Linked DNA regions of Ovis aries. The protein of the gene in region 1 binds, or shares a complex with, the protein of each later gene. Links are inferred from orthologs where the notes say so. Each region holds a gene or a part of one and is shown on either strand. Other genes may lie near its edges.

What was found.
Region 2: MED18 (region 1) and MED31 share a complex: the UniProt entries of both Homo sapiens proteins name them as parts of the mediator complex. The link is inferred for Ovis aries from reciprocal best matches to the Homo sapiens genes MED18 and MED31.

The regions. Positions count from the first base shown.
Region 1 is NC_056055.1:238,801,641-238,812,322, forward strand, and holds the start of MED18 (mediator of RNA polymerase II transcription subunit 18), read right to left. Parts: upstream 4,921-10,682; 5' UTR 4,773-4,920; exon of another isoform or gene 4,762-4,772; intron 3,987-4,761; exon of another isoform or gene 3,922-3,986; 5' UTR 3,916-3,921; coding exon 3,843-3,915; intron 877-3,842; coding exon 323-876; 3' UTR 1-322. UniProt on the Homo sapiens protein: Component of the Mediator complex, a coactivator involved in the regulated transcription of nearly all RNA polymerase II-dependent genes.
Region 2 is NC_056064.1:25,111,845-25,122,539, reverse strand, and holds the start of MED31 (mediator of RNA polymerase II transcription subunit 31), read right to left. Parts: upstream 6,206-10,695; 5' UTR 6,139-6,205; coding exon 6,111-6,138; intron 5,260-6,110; coding exon 5,182-5,259; intron 4,710-5,181; coding exon 4,613-4,709; intron 236-4,612; coding exon 43-235; 3' UTR 1-42. Other genes in the region: C11H17orf100 (uncharacterized protein C17orf100 homolog), read left to right, coding at 6,590-6,967. UniProt on the Homo sapiens protein: Component of the Mediator complex, a coactivator involved in the regulated transcription of nearly all RNA polymerase II-dependent genes.

The sequences.
Region 1 (10,682 bases):
TCTATTTTACAAACCTTATACATAAAAAGTTTTCTTCCCGAAAGCTACTTTAGTCCAATTTCCCTTCTTCCTGCAGAAGGATGATCTAGATTCTCCACGTTATTCTTAGCATTTAAGATAGAAAAAAAAAAAAAAAAATAAGATAGAAAGCCTGTCACAAAAGTGAACTGGCCATATGAGGAAATCAGTGCAAAAACAACTGAGTTCTCACTGGCTTCCATCCTGAGGGAAGAATGCATGGCTGGCAGTGGTGAAATGGGGCAATTATAACATCTTTTCTTGTAACAGCTGAGGGCAAGCCCCAGTGGACAGATTGTCTTAGTCACATGAGCCTTTTGGGGTCTATTTTCTCGAGGTGAACCAGAGGTTTCAGCTGCTCTGCAAAGTTCCTCATGTCATCAGAGACCATGTCCTGCCCAGCTGGTGCAACAACGCTTAGTTCCACGAGATAGGACAGTGACAAGGCCTCAGTGTTGTCTGTGTTCCCTGGCACCAGGATGCGGAAGATCTTGTATACCACGATCTTCATGATGCCTTTCCGGAACAAGTGTCCCCTGGCAACAAACTCGTGGTCCATGCGAAAGCCCATTTCCATGAGGAAGTCAGTGAGGTTCTCAGATGTTGCAATGTCTACGCAGTTACGCACCAGGGCATGGCGGTTCTTGTCTCCCATCTCTGGCTGTCCCAGGTAGCGAAGATGCCAGGGTGCCCCTGCCCTATCCAGAGAGCGTCGGGCCCTTAGAACAAATGGACTGGCCTGCTGGCCCTTAAGGAGGAATACCATCTCGTGGTCAACAAAAGTCTCGGGTTCCATGTTGTCACATAAACCACGAAGGCGGTGGATGAGGCTTTCCAAGCTGTGATCTAAAACACTTCCTGAAGAAGGAAAAAAGCACTATTGAGTTCCATCTTTCATTTTGGGTAATGGAATTAGCAAGAGACTGAAAAAACTTAAATGAAAAACCAAAATAATTTAGTGCAGTGTTTTGTAAACCATAGGCCCAATATATGAGATTGTAGGAGGTTACACTGCCAAGATATTATGTTAATCTCTTTTCAATTTTTTGTACTGTTTTATTTGGTACTAGAAGTTAGGCCTTGTTTAGTAATGCTAACCTCTAGCAGACTTTGGGGTTTAACAGGCAACAGTATCTACCTAGAATAATTATTTTATTCCATTCTATTATAAAATAATATATATTATTTTATATAAGACAAAAAATACTAAATAAAACAGCATGTGTGTGTGTTAGTTGCTCAGTCGTGTCTGACTCTGCAACCTCATGGACTGTAGCCTGCCAGGTTCCTCTGTCCATGGGATTTTGCAGGCAATACTAGAGTGGGTGGCCATTTTCTTCTCCAACAGAATAGTGTATTTCCCTGCAATCTCTTTTCACTTTCCCGCTTTATTTTTCTTTAGCTTATCACCTCAACTCTTTAGTCATCTTTTAACATATCAGTGTATTGACTTTTTAATAATTTTTCTTTCTCTACTGCTGATACTCCAATGTGAGAAACATATTCCTTTATTGACTAAATCTGTTAAAGTAAATAAAAATATACTACTATAACTACAGTAAATATTGGCAGTGGTATTCAAATGACTAAATTTTTGGAAAAGCAACAGAGTGGGTCCCAGTTATCAAAGGACAGAAGATCACAAGAGTAGGGAGTAGGTCCTACATTCAGAACAGTGTCAGCCATGTGTTTTTTCATTCTTCAAACATTTAAGGAGCTTTGTTAAGTGCTGGTTCATACACTTACACTTACTGAATGGCACCATGCTAAGAAGTAGGGGGCCTGGCCTGCCCAGAGATTATAGTTTAGTGGGGGAAATGAAAAAAATAAGTAAACCAATAAACAAGAGATAAACGGGGTGTTGAATAGAGAGCAACCAGTATGGGTGGAGAAGAGGAGACCTCTTTGAGGGCTTGGAATAGTCAGAGAAGATCTCTAAGGGAATGACAACTGAGTTGAGGCCTGAGGAATAAATATGAGATGGCTATGTGAAGGGCTGGAACAAAGTATAGACGCCGGGGGATCAGAGGTAGCAAAGAGCTTGGGGAATCCAAAGAAATGAAAGTGTGGCTGAAGTATGGTAAGCAAGATGGAAGATGATCATGAAATGAGCATTTGGGATGGGCCAAAGCAGGCAGGACTTATGTGTCGCCCATGCTAAAGGCTGTATTTTATTGTACGGCCACTGGGCAGTTATTAGCTCCACACTTTATTCTCCATGCAACAAGGAAAGATATGACTGGATTTACATTTTAAAAAGATCATTCTAGGAAAATTGGTATGGATGCTTCAACCAGACAGGGTCACATGAAAAAAAGTGGCAATGAGGGGAGGCGGGTCCAAGTTAAAAAAGGCTTAAGAGACACGGTTTTCATATGTAATGCATGAGATGATATTATGCCCTGGATCAAAACACAAGATGGAGGAAACTTCTGAATATGAATTATATATTAGATGATATCAGAAATATACTATGACTCTTTCAGGTAATAATGATAGTATTGGGGTTATTAAGGAAAATACGCTTGCTTTTTTAGAGATGAATACTGAAAGTGTTTGGGGGTAAAATGTTACGAGATCTGAATCTGTCTTCAAAAACGGCAAAAGGAAAAAGATAGAGCAAATATGGCAAAAGGTCAGAAACAGACATCTAGATGACTAGATCTAGAAATCTAGGCTGACTGTTCACAGGAATTCCCTGGTCATCCAGTGGTTAGGACTTGGTGCTCCCAATGCAGGGGACCCAGGTTTCATCCCTGGTTCAGGAGCTAAGATCCTGCATGCCATGCTGCTGCTGCTGCTAAGTCGCTTCAGTTGTGCCCGACTCTGTGCAACCCCATAGACTCTATTTTCTTTTCTCTGAGATTGATTCCTGAATGCATGGCTTAAGCAACTGATGACTGACAGCGGCACTTACTGAGATGGGAAAGGCTGAAGTAGAGGCAGATTGAGGAGTGCAATTAACAATTTTATTTTGTCCATTGTAAGTTACTAAACGGATGATCTGAATTAAAGTCTAAATTCTTCCACTAAAGATTAAATGACCTCCAGAAAATCATAACCCTCCCTGGTCTTGAGCTTTCTCATCTGGGAAAGTTACTTCACTTCTATTTCCTGATCTAGAAGATGGAACTAATAACAGTATCATAACATTACCATATGATCTATTAATCTCACTTCTGGGCATTCACTCCTAAAGAATCCAAAGCAGGATCTTGAAGAGGTATGTGCACACTCATGTTCACTGAGTATTATCTATGATAACAATTTGGGTAGAAGCAATCCAAATGTCTGACAGACAAACGAATAAAGAAAATATGGTATGTACATACAGTGGAACATTATTCAGATTTTTAAAAGGAGATTCTCTTACATGCGAAAGGGTTAATGTTGAGGATATTATACTAAGTGAAATAAGCCAGTCATAAAAAGACACATACTGAATGCTTCCACTCCTATGAGGTTATCTAACGTTGTCAAAATTAGAAACATCAAGTAGAAAGGTTGTTGCCAAGGCCTACGGCAAGGGGAAAGGAGGAATTAGTGTTTAACAGGAATAGAATTTCAATTCTGCAAGATGAAAAAGTTCTAGAGATTAGCTATACAACAATGTGAAATACTTAACATTACTGAACTGTATGCTTAAAAATGTTTAATATGGTAAACTTAATGTTATGTATTTGTGACCATAATTAAAAGTAAATTGGGGAATAAAAGGGTGCCAGAAATTATGCAGGTAGCTTTTATATAACAGCCTCTCATCTCCATGGAAAGCGGAACAGAAAACAGGAAAACAGGTAATTCAAGCTCCCTAGTTCACTTACCCTGCAGCAGGTACTCCATCATGTTAATGGTGCCCCCGGTGACAGGCATCATGGTGACTGGAGGTGCCTCCATGTTTATCTGTTTAAGTTGAAAACGACAGAACTAGATTTGGAATCCCCAGTCAGGTAACACACAGGATACACCTGGGGAAGAGTTATACTTGTTAATACATGGGAGAGGCAGAGAGAGACCAGATCTGCTTGGGTCATTGGCCTGGAGATGAAAATTCATTCATCCACCCATTCAAAACTTTAGTAACTGCTATAGGCCAGTTTCAGGTGATCCAGAAATACACAAAGGAGGCCTGATCATGGAGTTACAGCATAATCTTTCAGTCTCAAGGTCTGAAACCCTTCAATGGTTTTCTGTGCACCCTGGGACTCAATGTCTTTCTTCTAAAATGAGGCCATGATATTAACCCCCAAGTCTTTGTGGCTCAGATGACATAATGGACCTGCAACTAAAGACTGAAAAGTGACTTAAGGACTCTTGTATGCCCTTCAATTTACAGATGAGGATGTTGAGGCTTGGGGAGGAGCCTAAGGACACACAATAGGTGGGTGGCAGAACCTATACCAGACTAAAATCTAGGCGTTCCACCTCTCTAAAAACCTTTTAAAGAGATTGAAGCGAAAGCACGAAGTTCTTTCCACTGATGCTTTGTGTTAGTCGTTCAGTCGTGTCCGACTCTTTGTGACCCCATCGACTTAGGCCTGGCTTCTCTATCCATGGGGCTTTCCAGGCAAGGATACTGGAGTGGGTTGCCATTTCCTTCTCCGGGGGAATCTTCCCAATTCAGGGATCAAACCCGGGTCTCCTGCATTGCAGGCGGATGCTTTACCGTCTGAGTTTACTAGGGAAGCCCCAATGATGCTTTAGGGCCTCCTAAACCCAGCATCAAAACGTGCCCACTTATACCAAAAACACACCGCCAAGCGCGTTCCAGCCTCTTCCAGGAAAGCGGGGGACCGTATTCACCCGAGCACCTCGGAGCTTTCGAGCAACAATCACCACCCCCAGCCCTAAACTTGAAAACCCCTAGGCAGTGCAACAATTCTCTCGCCTCTTCCCACGTCTGACAAAAACCTTTCGTCGCGCAAACCTCGACACCGCCACTCTGCGACGTAAGGGTGCCGAGAGGACAAAAAAAGTCTCTTCCGCTGTACGGCAAGCAGGGGCGCATGCGCAAACTCCGATGCTGCACGGAAGATGGCGGCCTCCTTAGGAGGGGTCCTTTGGGAGATTCAGGCGGCATTGCAGTCATACGCCATCTTCCAGGAAAATATTTTTTTCAACTGTGAAGACCTGGACGTGTTTTTGTCCAGGAAATCTCTTGGACCTGAAAGGACAAAGAGACCCTGGGGAAGAGAGCTTCAGAAAAAGAGGAGAGATTGTCGTAAAACAGAAACTTATTTTGGGTGGGTATCTGATGATAGAACTTCCCAGTTGCTCAGCGGTAATGAATCTGCCTGCAGGAGACACAGAAGCCTCTGGTTGGATCCCTGGGTCGGGAGGATCCCCTGGAGGAGGGCACGGCCGGAGGTTCACTCAGAACAGCTCCCGCTCCTAAGGAAGAGCTGCGCTTGGAGACTTTTGGTCCTCATCTGGCCCCTCCCTCCGGCCGGCGTGCGCGGCCCCGCGGGGCTGGGGTGGGGCCCACCTGCGCCTCCTGGGGGGCGTGCAACCCGCCTCAGTGGGACTCAGTCTCCTAACCACCGCCGCCGCCACACCTTACATCAGTTTGGCTTCTGATGTTTTCATTTCCCTTGCTGAGGTGCTGCTTCTGGGTTAAAGTCATCTTATTGCCTGTCCATTTGTAGACAGGACAAGGTCGCTCGAATAGATCAGGAGTCGAGCTCAGAGTGGGCTTCCCTGGTGGCTCAGATGGTAAAGCGTCTGATCCCCTGGAGAAGGAAATGGCAACCCACTCCAGTACTTTTGCCTGGAAAATTCCATGGCCGGAGGAGCCTGGCAGGCTACAGTCTATGGGATCGCAAAGAGTCGGACACGACTGAGCAACTTCACTCACTCCGGCTCAGAGTAGGTCAAAAGTACACACATGTTGGGAGGAGTGGGAATCAAAACAGAAGGAGGGTTGCCAAGTACAGCCAGGACTAGGTGTTCACCATGTATGCTTAATAAAGGCCAGAATCTCATCTGTCTCTGGTGGGAGGGTCTGTTGGTTTCACTGGATCGAATTCAACCGATCCGAACCAGTTTCATGGAATAAAACACTGGACTTCGGTGGCCACTGTTCCCATCAAGAAAGGATGGTCGCGTTTGGAAGTAAACATGTTGGAGAGCTGTAAACACCACAAACCTAAATACAGGTCACAAGGCTGAAACTGGGTCTAATCAGACCTGAAACCAAGGAAAAGAATTCGGCTTTTCCAGCTGGCTCTCCTATGAACTTTTGATGGTTTACTGCAGCTGGATTACAGGCACTTCCGAAGGTAGTGAGTCCTGTGGTGGGTCTTCCAGGCAGTTCTGGATAAGAGGCACTTTCCAGACTTCAAGACCGCAGAAGAAAAGTGCAAGAGTCAACTTTGAGTCAAGCTCAAAGGTAGTAGATCCAGGGACTGACAGATTAACCTACAAAAGTGACAAGAACAGTGGGAAAAACTAGCTGTTCTGCCCCAGGGGTGAGGGAAAATGTCTCAAATTGCAAACACTTACATCTATGATGCCCCAACAGACTTTATTGATTTTCAGTCAAATCATGACAAAGACACCGAAGGCATAGATTCTTCATTTGAGAAGGCCAGTTGGAGGATAAGGTACTGAGAACTGTGGAAAAACACCCTTTATCCTTTGATTCGCTGAAGAAAACACCAGTTACAGGAAGAAGAGAGAAGAACTGCAGACAGGTGAGGTGCCCTTCAGGTTCAAGGTGCACCCATTGCCTTAATTTGTCATCATTAATCTGTCAGAGAAGAAGGTGAAGAATACAACCAAGCCTGAAGGCCCAGATTCAGAATCCACAGCTGGAGGAAGAACTGAAACAGCAGAAAGCAGCAGCTTGCTTCGAGGGTAGTCCAAACACCACCATCTACCTCAAGCCCTTTTGTAGGGAAAGAGTAAATTAGCCAAGATGGCATGGTCAGGCCCTCTCTCTCTTGCCCCACATTTTGTAAATAATGATTATGTAACATCTGAGCTCATTTATAGCACTGCTCATGGGCATCAGGAGGTACTCACTTGGCCAAGGGCTTCTGTTTTTCTCTAAGCATGTGTGAGCTTTACCTGGAAAGCCCTGGTGGGCTATGTTATGGGTATGTGACGTTATGGCTGTTACTACGGCTGCTGATCAGCCAGGAGAAAGACTGCATTATGTTACATTATGGCTGTGTTATGGCCACCTTCTGGTTAGGTTAGGTTATGTGATGTTATGGCTGCCGCTACGGCTGCTGTGTCAGCCAGGAGAGAATAAAGGTGTCTGCAGTTCCTACTGCTCCTTGCATCTTCTTCCAGCCTCTTAGCTCGTGTCTTGCCTACTCTGGATTCAAAGAATAGTGCGGCACAGTGAGACACAGGCTGTAGCTCACCAGGCTCCTCTATCCATGGAATTTTCCAGGCAAGAATACTGGAGGGGGTTGCCATTTCCTACTCTAGGGGATCTTTCTGACCCAGGAATTGAACTCCTGTCTCCTGTGTCTTTTATATTGGCAGGCAGATTCTTTACCACTGAGCCCACCTGGGAAGTCCCTGCTAACCGTCAGACTGCCAGGGAATTCCCTTTTTAAACATTTTTAATGACATTTACTCAAATTTTACCTGGCATTTCAGAAGCGGCATTGAAAAAAAAGAATGAGTAAGAAACGGGTGGACAATATGGTAAAACTTGGACAAAGGCTCAGGAGTTATAGGGATGGGTTTCTGTATAAGGATGTGAGGCCTGGCGCTTAGAAGGGAGCTTGCTTCTGTCTTCTGTCGCTACCCAGCTGTGCAACCTTGGGCAATTCACTTCCCCTCTCTGAGCCTCAGCTTCCTTTGTTATAAAATAGAGTTAAAAATAGTACTTTCTGAAGCGGGGGAGGTTGTAAAAATAAAATGAGATGTTTATGAAACACAACATAGAGCCTGGCTTATTGTAAGCAATCAATAAATGATAGCTATTATTATTACACTTTATATCTCTCATTTGAGCAAACACATTCTATCTTAATGAATATATTTTGTGCATGTCTCATCCCCCAAAGTCAGAGAAGGCAATGGCACCCCACTCCAGTACTCTTGCCTGGAAAATCCCATGGATGGAGGAGCCTGGTGGGCTGCAGTCCATGGGGTCGCACAGAGTTGGACACGACTAAAGTGGCTTAGCAACAGCAGCATCCCCCAAAGTAGATTATAAACATCTTGAAGGGAGGAATCATGCATTTCCTTTTATATGTTTGTGTCTTAGACAGCTCAGGCTGCTGTAACAAAATATAAATGAAATGGCTTAGGAACAACAGAAATTTATTTTACATAGTTCTGGAGGGTGGACATCTGAGCTTAGGGTTCCAACATGATTGGGTTCTGATGAGCGCCCTCTTAAGGTTGCAGCTTGCCATCCTCTCCTTGTAGCCTCACATGGTGAAGACCAGAGAAAACTCCCTCTGAACTCTCATTAAGGGCACTAATCCCATTCACAGGGGCCCCCTTTCCTCTTGACCTCTTCTAACCCTAGCCATTTCCCAAAGGCCCTTGCTCCTAATACTGTCACATTGGCAGTAGTATTTCACCAATACCAGAAGTATTTCATTGGTAGGAGGGTTTCACCATAAGGATTTGGTGAGGGGGGACACAAACATTCTGTCTACAACAGTGTACTTTATAGGTAGTGGGTGTTCAAAACTGTTGAACACATCAAAATGACTACCAGTTATTGAACAGTTGCTATATACAACTTTACACTGTATGTGTGTAACTATGTCAAATACCTCCCAAAGGTAGCTATTACCATCTCCATTTTACAGAGGAGGAAAAAGAGGTTCAGAGAGGTGAAGTGACTTGCCCAAAGCCGAATCACCAGCAAATGGCAGGACTCAGATTCAAAATCAGTTCTTTCACTTATAAACCTATCTCTTTAGCATGCCTCCCTCTGAATTCATGGGCTCTTTCTCCACAGTGAATTTCCTCAATTATTGCAATTAATGGCACCAAAGAAGGAGAAAACGTCATACATTAATGCTTCCTAGCCCATCACTAGACTGGGCTCCAAGGAGTAAGACTAGCTCTTGGCCAGTCTTCATCAGAACAGCAGACCATCAACATGGATTGCAGGGTACACTTACCCATACACAGTTCCTTCATCAATTTTCTAGAATAGCCTGATATAAATTGACAGATCTATCTCTCTGTTATCTGAAATGCTAGGATATCAACCTTAGTGTTACACACTAGTTAATTTCCCTAGGAAAAGCTGCTTCCTGTGCACAGTCCTCAGGGAAATGTATAACTGCTCTTTTCAGCCTAGTTGTTTTCCACCATCCTTATAAGTTCATGCCACTTCTCAGAGTAAAAACCAAAGTTCTCACTATGCCTACATGGTCTGCCCTCATCACCTGTTACCTCTCTGACCATTTCCATCTGTGTCTGCCCCCGCTCCATTCACTCAGCTCCAATCACACTGTTCTCACTGGTCTTACTTGAACATGTCATGGAGCCTCCCATCTTAACTGTGGTACAGTCAATCTGGAGCGCTGCTTTTCTACTGAACTGCAGGATTCACTCTCTTGTTTCCTTTTGGTCTCCTCTCACATCTTTACTAGGCATGCCTTCCCTGAGCACCCATTTCAAATTGTAATCCACTATCCACCCTGTATTCCCTCATACACTGTTGTATTTTTCTTCACAGGACATTTGACTAGGTGATATACTGCCTATTTACCAATTACTTGTTTATTTTCTCCCTCCCCATTAAAATCACAAGTTCCATGAAAGCAGAGTTTTATTTACTACAGTATTCCCAGCTCCCAGAATGATGCCTGGCATAGTGCATAAACTTAATAAATACTACTTTTTTTGAGAGAATGATTTGAAGAGAACAGAGGTTACTAGATGCTTTTCTTGGTCTCCTAAATTTAGTCCGCCCTGAATTCAGCAGGAGAACCTAAGTCCTTAAATTCCAAACGGGAAACACTGCATCTTTCTTCTAGGTATGTGTTGTCTAATATGACAACAGTGAACCACATGTGGTTATTAACCACTTGAAAAGTGCCTAGTTCAAATTGATTTAAGCTCCCAGTGTAAGATACACATTGGACTTTGAAGACTTAGTATGAACTATATCGATAATTTTATATATTGATTACATGTTGAAATTATATTTTGGATATTTAGTGTTTAATAAAATAAATGATTAAATTTAATTTCACTTGTTTCTCATTTTTTACAGTGTGGCTAGAATATTAAAAATTGCATATGTGACTCACATTCTATTCCTATTGGACAGCACTGCTGTAGGATCTAGATTTGAAGATATGGATTTAAAGCCTGACTGATCTAGGTTTGAATCTTGGCTACTGTTTACATGGCCTTAGGCAAGTTATTTACATTCCTAGGCCTTCAGCAGTGCCTGGCACATACTGTGTATTGTAGGTATGCAATGAATCAGAGCTATCATTAGGAGAATGGTTTAGGAACTGCGGAATGTTTAATTTGGAAAACACTTGAAAGGGTGGAAATAACATCTGTCCTCAAATATATAAAATTATAACTAATCTAGCAAGGAAAGAGTATAGAGAAAGAGGAAGGAAATAGCTTACTTTTACTGAGCATCAGATGCCAGATACTTTGTACCCATATATCTAATTTAAACCTCACAACAATGGTAATTTAATCCACTTAATAAATAA
Region 2 (10,695 bases), on another chromosome or scaffold:
CAATATATACATGTCTTAGGAGCCTGGTCAGGGTCCAGCTTTTTATTTTCCTGATGTGTTATTCTGCTGTTGCTGCTCCGCCAGGGCTTGCTGAAGGCGCATCCGCTTCCGGGAATAGTGCTGCCAGTGCAGAATTTGCTGCTCATCAATAAATTTCGCACACTGAGCATTCACCAGCTCCTTGCGGAAGTGTTCGTACTGGAGCAGTTCTAACATGTGTAAACACTGAGGGTACCTGGGGTTAAGTTTATAAGTTAATGATTGACATAATAATACCACGCTCTAGTTAACTCACTTAAACATGCTTTTGCACTCTATCATTTCTGTAACATTAACTTGGTATACTTTGGTAATACTTTTTTTTTCCTGCATATACAGAAAAGCTAATCATCAAAAGTCAGCAAAATTTTCAAATGTGAGAAAATGTAAGCTTGGAAAGATTAAATAATTTACAGAAGACCACACAGTAACTGGTAAATAGCGTTACTGTCAACTGGTAACACAATAACTGGTCAACATCTGGGCGCAAATCACACTATTCTCTTCGGTGATTTCCAAGGTAAGGGATAGGAACACTTTATTTTCATAATTATGTGTTTAATACCTATTGGTTTTCCATAAACTATGATAAGACAGCTTTTAAAAGTGAGTCAACTTCAGAAAAAACTATGCAGATATTGTATTCCTGTTTCCCACAGGGATATAACAATTCTGAAATTATGTACATATACTCAGAGGTTGAGCACATACACTATAAACAGAAAGCCAAACCTCTGGCTCTCAGAAAAGTAGTTTCAGATAAGGAAGGGGGAAGGCTAGAATGAATCCTGTTATTAAGTTGGAACTGAAAACATCAGGATGAACTCATGGCTTTATACACGTGCGCACACACACAGATATAGAAATAGATACACACAGACCCATTTCTAGCTTTATGTGTTGAGAGAGCCTAGAATCAATGACACTCCAGGACCAATGAGCACACCGAGTACCCAGATCATGGATTTTAAATAGTATTATCCAGGGTTGGTTGGAGACGTGGCTGATGCTACGGCTAACACAGGGAAAGTAAAAGATGAGCCTGGACTATTACATAGTGGCAGAAAGAAAAATGCTCAAAAAATATAGGGATTTGTTGAAAGTACACAGGAGCCAGTTTGAAGGTGTTCCCATTGGCTGTATCCAGGATCACTAGTTCAAGAAGATACATAATTATAACCCATAAGATAAAGAATCCAGGAGTCCATACTGATGTAACTTTATAAAATGAATAAATAAATTAGGAACAAGGAAATATTCTGTCCTTACAACTGAATTTCAACTAACAAATGAATAAAGAATTATGGAATTAGAAAATCACAGAAAAAGCTTTCAAGCAAGTATTTTCCATAGATTGCCAAAGTTAGGTAAAAAACTGAAATATGAAACACTATATTTACCGTCTCAAAGCATTCCCTCACAAGATAGGCATTAAATACAAAGCGAAGAACAAGTAATTTGATACAGAGAAAACTAGCAGCCACCAGCTGAACCAGGTCATCAATCTGGAGTGGAGCCTGAGCTCTGCATTCAATGCTGCTGGTCTGAGGACAACAGCAGGCCCCAACACAATGTTTCCTTATTGAACATTTGCTTCCTATACTCCAGAGATACATAGTTGCTTGTAATTGTCAGCAGCTTTGGCCACCTCATGCGAAGAGTTGACTCAATGGAAAAGACTCTGATGCTGAGAGGGATTGGGGGCAGGAGGAGAAGGGGACAATAGACGATGAGACAGCTGGATGCCATCACTGACTTGATGGACGTGAGTCTGATTGAACTCCAGGAGTTGGTGATGGACAGAGAGGCCTGGCGTGCTGCGATTCATGGGGTCACAAAGAGTCGGACACGACTGAGCGACTGAACTGAACTGAAGCCTGGAAAGCCCTACTCACATCTACTCTAGCTATTTCCTTCTCATGAGGATGTTCTATCAACAAAGACCTAGGTTTGAAACCAGCTCTGCCCATTCTACAGCTGGGTGTCCTTGAACAGGGTACTTAACCTTTCTTAAGGATTAGTTTCTTCCTCCGTAAAATAAATTAATGTGATAACCAAGAGGACTGTCTTCAAGTAGCAAATGCTACTTCTCAATAACTGGAACTTAGACATACAGTGATCACTTATAAGACTTGGAGAAGACCATGCTCAAAATAAGGGACTATAAATATTTTAATAGGTGACAATTATAGCATCAACCAACAAGACGAAATAGAGATACAAAAGCAAAGTTTGCATTTAGATTTTTTTAAAAAACAAATGAGAAATAAATGGAGAACTCAACTAACAGCACTGATGAAAATGAGAACTGAAGGATTTTAGCTGACATAAGTGAAAGTGAAGTCGCTCAGTCGTGTCCAACTCTTTGCGATCCCATGGACTGTAGCCTACCAGGCTCCTCTGTCCATGGGATTTTCCAGGCCAGAGTACTAGAGTGGATTGCCATTTCCTTCTCCAGGGAATCTTCCCAACCCAGGCACTGAACCCAGGTCTCCCGCATTGTAGACAGATGCTTTACAGTCTGCTGCTACTGCTAAGTCACTTCAGTTGTGTCCGACTCTGTGCGACCCCGTAGATGGTAGCCCACCAGGCTCCCCCGTCCCTGGGATTCTCCAGGCAAGAACACTGGAGTGGGTTGCCATTTCCTTCTCCAATGCATGAAAGTGAAAAGTAAAAGTGAAGTCGCTCAGTCGTGTCCAACTCTTCCGACCCCATGGACTGCAGCCTACCACCAGGCTCCTCCGCCCATGGGATTTCCCAGGCAGGAGTACTAGAGTGGGGTGCCATTGCTTTACAGTCTGAGCCACCAGAAAATCAACATTGTGAATCCTTGAATGTAAGAGATAAATTACAGCTGCAGGTCGTTGCTATTAGTGAAATGGTGGAGGACATTGTCTAGAAGAGGTAGCTGCTGCTCTGCTCTAGCCAATGACTGACCTGGGAAAACAAAGACCTGGGGTTATCAGATCTTCCAAATTTTTAAAGAGAAGCTTAGAAATCTGAATCAAAATATGAAACTCTCCAATCTTTAAATTTTGACAACTACTAAACAAAAACCTTGTGTAGAAATGAAATGGGAGTTAATTTGCAGCCTCTCTTAAATTTAAATATCTGAATGGTTATTCTTCAAGAAGGCATAGATTGGTTCTGGATTAATTCAGGGTCAAAACTCAAAACATGAGTTAAAGTTACATAGAGGTATATCATGTTATAGGACTTCCCTGGTGGCTCAGACGGTAAAGCATCTGTCTACAATGTGGGAGACCTGGGTTTAAGCCCTGGGTTGGGAATATCCCCTGGAGAAGGAAATGGCAATCGACTCCAGTACTATTGCCTGGAAAATCCCATGGACAGAGGAGCCCGGTAGGCTACAATCTATGGGGTTGCAAAGAGTCGGACACAATAATACAAGGAGGAACTTTCTGGAATCTAGCTAACAACGGAATTGGCTGCCCCTGAATTAGTATGTGTTCACTAGAAACCTCCAGCCAGTATACAGATGACCATCTCAGCAATGTTGTGGGTAAAATTGAACCTGACGGTGTCCAGGGCTCAGTGTCCAACACTGAGTCTCTAAGTCTATAATACATACATATAACATGTTGCAATCTAGTAAAAAAATATATATATTTTCTCTGGATTATTAAATGAATAAGTGGTTCTTTTATAAAGGGCCAGTAAGGGTGGAAAGGGTCCCACAGGCAAAAGGAGGATGTGGACTTCATAAAGCAGCTGTTATTAGACAGAGAAAAGTGGCTTGGCCAAAGTACAAGTCTTAAACATTCTCCTCTCAAACTTGTGTCTGTTTAGGGGAAAAAAAAGGCTAGACATTTCACCACTGCTTTTTGACTACCTATTTAAGACAAAGCAGAGGTGGGTGTTCAAGGCTTATTTTTTATCATTAAAAAGAAATGTTTGTGATTACAATATGCTCCTTGCATTTCAGTAAGCCTTAAAACGAGAGTATCTATTGCACAACCTGAATGATAAATTCATGTATTTATTATGTAAGATATATAAAATAAGAAAGCAGCTATTAAGACTCGGGTACGGTTACCTTCTCCAGAAACCCTTGCTTACAAGTAAGTACCTCTTTCTATGTTTTTTCATTTTCAGGCTATGGCTGTCATTGCATATATGGACTGCGGGTTCCTTGAGGTCAGAAACTCAGTGAGATGCAGGGAGTGGTACAAGATAAGGTCAGAGAAGACAGGGACAGATCACACAGGGCTAAGAGACGAGATTTTCTTCTGCATGCAATGGGAAGCGACCAAAGGGTTCTAATGGAATGTAATTTCTATTTTTAAGAGACCAAGTTGGCTTCTGTGCAGAAAATGTTTCTTCTTTGTTTGGCAGGGCAGGGAGAAAGGAGGAATACCAATGAGTAGATACTGCAGTAATCCCAGTTAAGTTAGAGATGATGTGTCTCGTATTAAAATGGAGGCAACTGAAAGGAGAGCAGAGATTCAACAGGTATTTTTTCCAACGTGAAAGTAAGAAGTCTATTAAATATCAGTGCTTTGGAATATAATAAAAGTACACACATGTTTAGGACTATAAAAATTAAACTTACTTTAGATACTTGGCATATTCTGGTTCTTTCCAGTAAAGCAAGTACTTAAGATAATTAACAAAAGCTTTATCTTTGAAGTAACCTCTTTGGGCAAGAACTGAAAGGCATAAAAAAAAAAAAAAAAATACATCTGTAGAGCACACCAGTCCTTGGACTACTGATCTGTGACTAACATAATCGTAAAGAATTTACTTACATAACATTCCCACCACCAACACACACTGAATTCAAAACAGAAGTCCCAGTTTGCTCAATTATATATACCAGTATAAGTGCAACAGTCATTCCATTCAGTTAAGAATGTACAAAACTAGATACTAAAGTCATCTCTCAGAATCCACAGGGAGTTGGTTCTAAGAGGCCCCGCAGACACGAGAATCCACAGGTGCTCCAATCTCCTGTACAAAACAACATAGTGCCATGACAGTATTGTCACCCTCAGGATGGGCAGATTCCACCAACTGAGGTTGCCTCCAAGGATACAAAGGGCTGACAGTACTATGAATTTTGACTCTTCTATCAGAAATCGTAACTAGCTATTCACTTCAATGAGGTGCTCAACAACTTACAGTTAAGGTAATTTGGGTTGGCTAAACACTGTACAAATTCCAACTCCAACTGAAACCGCAGTCGATTTCCAGCATCATCTAGGAGAGAAGATAGCAAAATCATCCAAAATAAATGTCACTGTATATAATACTGATTTTTAGACAGAAAACAGCAGTACAGACATCTGACTAATGCTGAGTTACATAAAGAAGAGCATGCAAAGGTTTTCCTAAACTGGGTGTAGGAGGAGAAACACCTTCCTTATAAGTCTAAGGAAAGCAAAGCCCTGATTAAGAAAAAAAAAAAAAAAAAAAGGTTTATCTAAAGTTAAATTATCAAAGAAAACAAGATTATACATGGAGCAGAACATTAATCACTCGTGAGCCACCATGTTGGGACTTCACAGTGATCACTAGGATAAGCTGCAGCAATGTGCCTTGCCTTATTTTGATAGTGCGTTACAAGCTGTTAAGTGATCAAGCTTAGCAAAAACAAAATGCTAAATCCATCAAGAGACGTTCAGAATGCAAGATGAAAGAGACCCTGGTGAGTATCAAGAAACGCGTGCTTACGTGAGACCCGTTAGTGGCACAGTAATACAAGAGTTCGCTGACGATATTTTAAACTTAGGCAAGCTCATCTGAGATGCAAAAAAACAACTCGAGGAAGCGGTTTATGATCCAAAATCTCTCCTTTAGTCTTCTGGAAGCCGGTGGGGCCACTGTTTGAATAACTAACGGGGAGAAAGGATCGGCCAACAAAACAAACTCTGAAAAGGCCAAATTACCTTCGCCCTTCCAGTCGCTAAAAAAAAACCCTGGTGCCTCCCGCTCCGATCACTCACTCTGCCGGGAGTTGGGCCTGGATTCTCAAAAAATCCCGGGAAGCAGGTGTCTGGACCCGGGACAGTTTCTATTTGACAAAACGCGAGGCTCAGAGCGCTACTCACCTGTCTCCATAGCGACGGCCGCGGCCATCACCAGCAGACACTCTTAAGTCCCCAGCAACCCCACACAGCCAGGATCGGAGAAACAGGGAAGGTCCGGAAGTCGCAGCGTCCCCTTCCTGCCGCGGGGCAGTGTGGGATGCGGGGGTGGGCACAGCTTCGCAAGGGGGCGGGTGGCTCCGCCCATCCAGGGCCCGCCCCGCCCCAACCCCGCCTCCACCCGGACAGGTTCTTGACAGGCTAAGGGGCGATGCGGGGGCAGACGGCGCTCTCGAGGGGACGAACCCAGCGTTCCCAAGGAATCTTAGGCCTCCCCGCCCCAAGATCACGGTGCCTCCACGTGGTTCGCGGGACCCTCGACCACCGCTCTGCCTGCATCACAATGGCATGTGACGTCGCTCCTCACCGTATAAAATAATCCTTCGGGGATTGTGGGGCTGTGGGGCCTCCAAAGGTCAGCTTGGCCCTGTTACCCCCATAAGATGGCCTCACCCCTTCGGGGAAAGCCCTCTCCGGCCCGGGCGGAATCCATCCGCTCCGAGGAGACGGCGACGGTCAGCGTGGAGACCTCGTCCCACCGCGTGGAGACATCCTACCGTCACGTGAGGACATCTTCCCGGCAGGTGGAGACCACCCAGCGCAGCAGCGAGGGACCCTCCGTCTCCTCCTCTGGGAAGCGGCTCCCTCGAGTCCTCGAGGTGTCCTCCCAGCACGTGGAAACCGCCTCGCAGCTCACAGAGACGGCTTCCCGCCACGTCAGGGCCTCGTCCCTGCGGGTGGAGACGTCTGTGCACCGCGTGGAGAGCACGCCGCGGCGGGAGAAGCCAGCCGCCCGCCATAACATCCAAAAGGCCCGATGAAATGCTGCCTTCCTCGGGGCCACGAGGGGGCCATGGCCCTTGGCCAGGGCAGAATCGCCTCCAGTTCGCAGCCTGCCTGCTGCCAGGTGGACCGATCATCTTTGGTTTCCTGGAAACAGTCCACAGATCAATTTAAGAAAGAGCCAAGCTGCGGTTTCGGGATTTAGCCAACATTCATTGACCCTCCTGCACCTTGGACCAAAGGCAAGCCTTTGACCCAGTGAACTATTTTAATTTGAAGCCAGCATAAAAAGTTTTTAGGCTCTAGATACTGTATGTGTTAAGCTGATGGAAAAGAGACTGTTTGAGCCTCCAAGGCAGGTGAGTTTTGAATTGGGGGCCCTTTAAATAACCTTGGCTGCTTCAAACCTGGAGAAGGAAATGGCTACCCACTCCAGTATTCTTGCCTGGAGAATTCCATGGACAGAGGAGCCTGGCAGGCTACAATCCATGGGGTCACAGAGACCTCGACACAACTCAGCGACTATCACTCACTCACTGAATGACCTTGGCTGCTTCAAACTTAGGGACAAGGAGCAAACAAATCATAATCAGTGGAATTATATGCCAGCTGCAAACCTGAGTTGCAAGCAACAGACTTTCCTTAATTAATTACTTGGCTTGTGTTTATGTTTCAATATATTTCTCTTTATGCCAAGTCTTTGTGCCTGGTAGCCATACACACAGGTTTTAATAGAGGTCACATGTAGTTCAAAGGGAAAAGTGAAGGTCGACCTCAACAATCAAGAATAATCTTGGAAAGGAAACCTGACCTGTGATTTGAGGAGGTGCAGGGGAGGAATATTTATTGAGCATCTACTCGGTGCCGGGCGTGCATTTGGGCTATAGCAGTGAACAAGGCAAACAAGGTCCTAGCCCTTGGGGAGCTTATACTCTAGTGAAAAGGCAGACAACAGATGACAAACAAGAGTTTTCTGTTGTGATGAGCACTTCGAAGGAAACAAACAGGTGATGTGATAGAGAATATGCTGACCAGTACCTAGTTTTTCTAAGTTAACCTGGTTAGCAACAACTGAAGGCAGGTCAGGGCTACCCCCTAGATCAGCAAATCTTAACAGATTAGTAAGTGGAGCCATTCAAGGCGGCTTTGACTGGGGATGAAGGGACATCCCTGCTTTCAACAATATGTGCTATTTATCCCATTTAGCAGTATGTAAAGACCTGGATTCTATGGGACCTCATTGGGAGATAGAGTACTTGCTGTTGGCAGGCACTGTGATTCATTACTCACATTAATTCATTTAATTACAGGGGAGTGCACCAGAATAGGATTCAGGCCAGGGGAATGTCATAAAACCCCAGAGGCACCCCTGATGCTTCTGCTTCATCAAACGTCTGGTATAGATTAATATTTAGACTTTGGAATTTTAGTTTCTGGTGAACTTACTCACTCTTTTTAAAGTAACAGACCATGTGCATTAGATACACACTCTTTATCAGTGTTTTTAAATGAGCAAAGTGGTTGCTTTTCTTTAACTGTTCTTTATTAATGTTTTCATTACAAAGTGATAATGTGCTTAATATAACAAGTGAAACAATTCAAGATGTGTAAAGAATCTGTCATCATTGCTTTCCATTTTCCTCCTCTGGTAATAATTCGTGTCAGTAACTTGGTGTATACCCTTCTAGACCTTTCTGCAATAAATGCTCCTGATCTGCTTATTAGTCGTACGTGGAAAACTGGTTGAAAGGTTACTGTGAAGAAGCCAAGAACTTGATTTCTAGATGATTGACTCTCTTGGAATCTAATCCGTTTGTTTTACTTAATAAGGAGACTGAGGCACAGAGTGGGAGCACCTTACCAGTCACATGGCACTTAGCCTACCTGCAGCAGCACTGCCCCCACTGGACTCGCAGAACAGCAAAGATTTCACCACTGGAAACTCATCCATTTAGTTGTCAGTGGCCTGTCCACATTACCCGTTAAAGATACCAGGAGAAAGGGCTAGAATAATTAAATCGTTCTTTAGTGTGTCTCTGATGAGATTCTTTACCAGTCCCAGGGCCACTTTATCCATTAGGCATGGCAGGCTGTAATCCTAGGACCTGCCAAAAATTGTTGAAGCTTCAAAAATCCATTGGCTTCAAAATACAAGTAGAAGAAAATAGCAAAATTGAAATTAATAAGGGTCAATGGGCACACCTTGTAATATATATGATGTGATATGGATCAGGACCTCCAAAGATAAGAATATCTAAGATCCAGGCTTAAAATGGCTCTGCCAAGGTAGCTCCACACTGATATCTGGGCTCCGATGAGATGACAGGGTAGGGCCTCTCTCCAAAAATGTTAAGACTGATAACACTGATTCCTTTATTTTCTCTTTTCTCTCCTCTGACCAGACTGACCTTCCCACTGACTGAGAAACTAGACCTCCAATAAGTGAATTCATCCCTCTGGGCCTCACTGCCCCCACTGAAAATGAGATGTTTGGACCAATCTTTGAATATGTGATTCCCAAAGTGAGGAATGCAGACACTGCTTCAGGGTGATTTTAGGAGGTATGAGAACATTTTTTATTTTGATAATTAAATATTTATTTCAGTGTTTTTCTTTTGTTCAGTCACTAAATTGTGTCTCTTTGCAACCCCATGGACTGCAGCCCGCCAGGCTTCCTTGTCCTTCACCATCTCCCAGAGCTTGCTCAAACTCCATTGACTCGGTGATGCTATATAACCATCTCATCCTCTGTCGCTCCCTCTCCTCCTGCTCTCAGTCTTTCCCAGCATCAGGGTCTTTTCCAATGAGAGTTGGCTCTTTGCATCAGGTGGTCAAAGTATTGGAGCTTCAGCTTCAGCATCAGTCCTTCCAATGAATATTTAGGATTGATTTCCTTTAGGATTGACTGGTTTGATCTCCATGCTGTCCAAGGGACTCTCAAGAGTCTTCTCCAACACCACAGTTCAAAAGCATCAATTCTTTGGCGCTCAGCCTTCCTTATGGTCCAACTTTCACATCCATACACGACTACTGGAAAAGCCAGCTGGACCTTTGTCGGCAAAGTGATGTTTCTGCTTTTTAATGCTCTGTCTAGGTTTGTCATAGCTTTTCTTCCAAAGAGCAAGTGTCTTTTAATTTTGTGGCTGCAGTTGCTGTCCACAGTGATTTTGGAGCCCAACAAAATAAAATCTGTCACTGTTTCTACTCTTTTCCCCATCCATTTGCCATGAAGTGATAGGACCAGATGCCATGATCTTCATTTTTTGAATGTTGAATTTTAATAGTGAATTATATATAATATAAATATAAATGTATTATATACATATATATAATATGTATATAACTAACATTCATACTTGTTATTTCACCAATATTTTACTTCAGCTATAGTGGGCATTTTTAAATGTTTAAATGAATTGATTTAAAGAAAAAATAGATTCCATAAAAAGTCGGCCTTCAGTGTGGCCAAAAATTTGAAAGTGATATGGAACGCACTGATTAGTGTTTGGGAAATGAGGCACTAATTTAGTTCCCTAAGTGAATGGTTTTTTAGATGCATGAGAAAGCCTGGGACTGTAAGGTCTATTTATTGTATTGTAATCAGCATTTTTCTTACTCATGAAATAAAAAATAGAAAATATAGAATATATTAGAGTGTTCACACATAGTAAAGGTAAGAATTGCTTTGTGAAATTTTTCTGTATTGTCACAGTGTGCTAAGTTTCCTCAGTCGTGTCCAACTCTTTGCAACCCTATGGACTCTGTC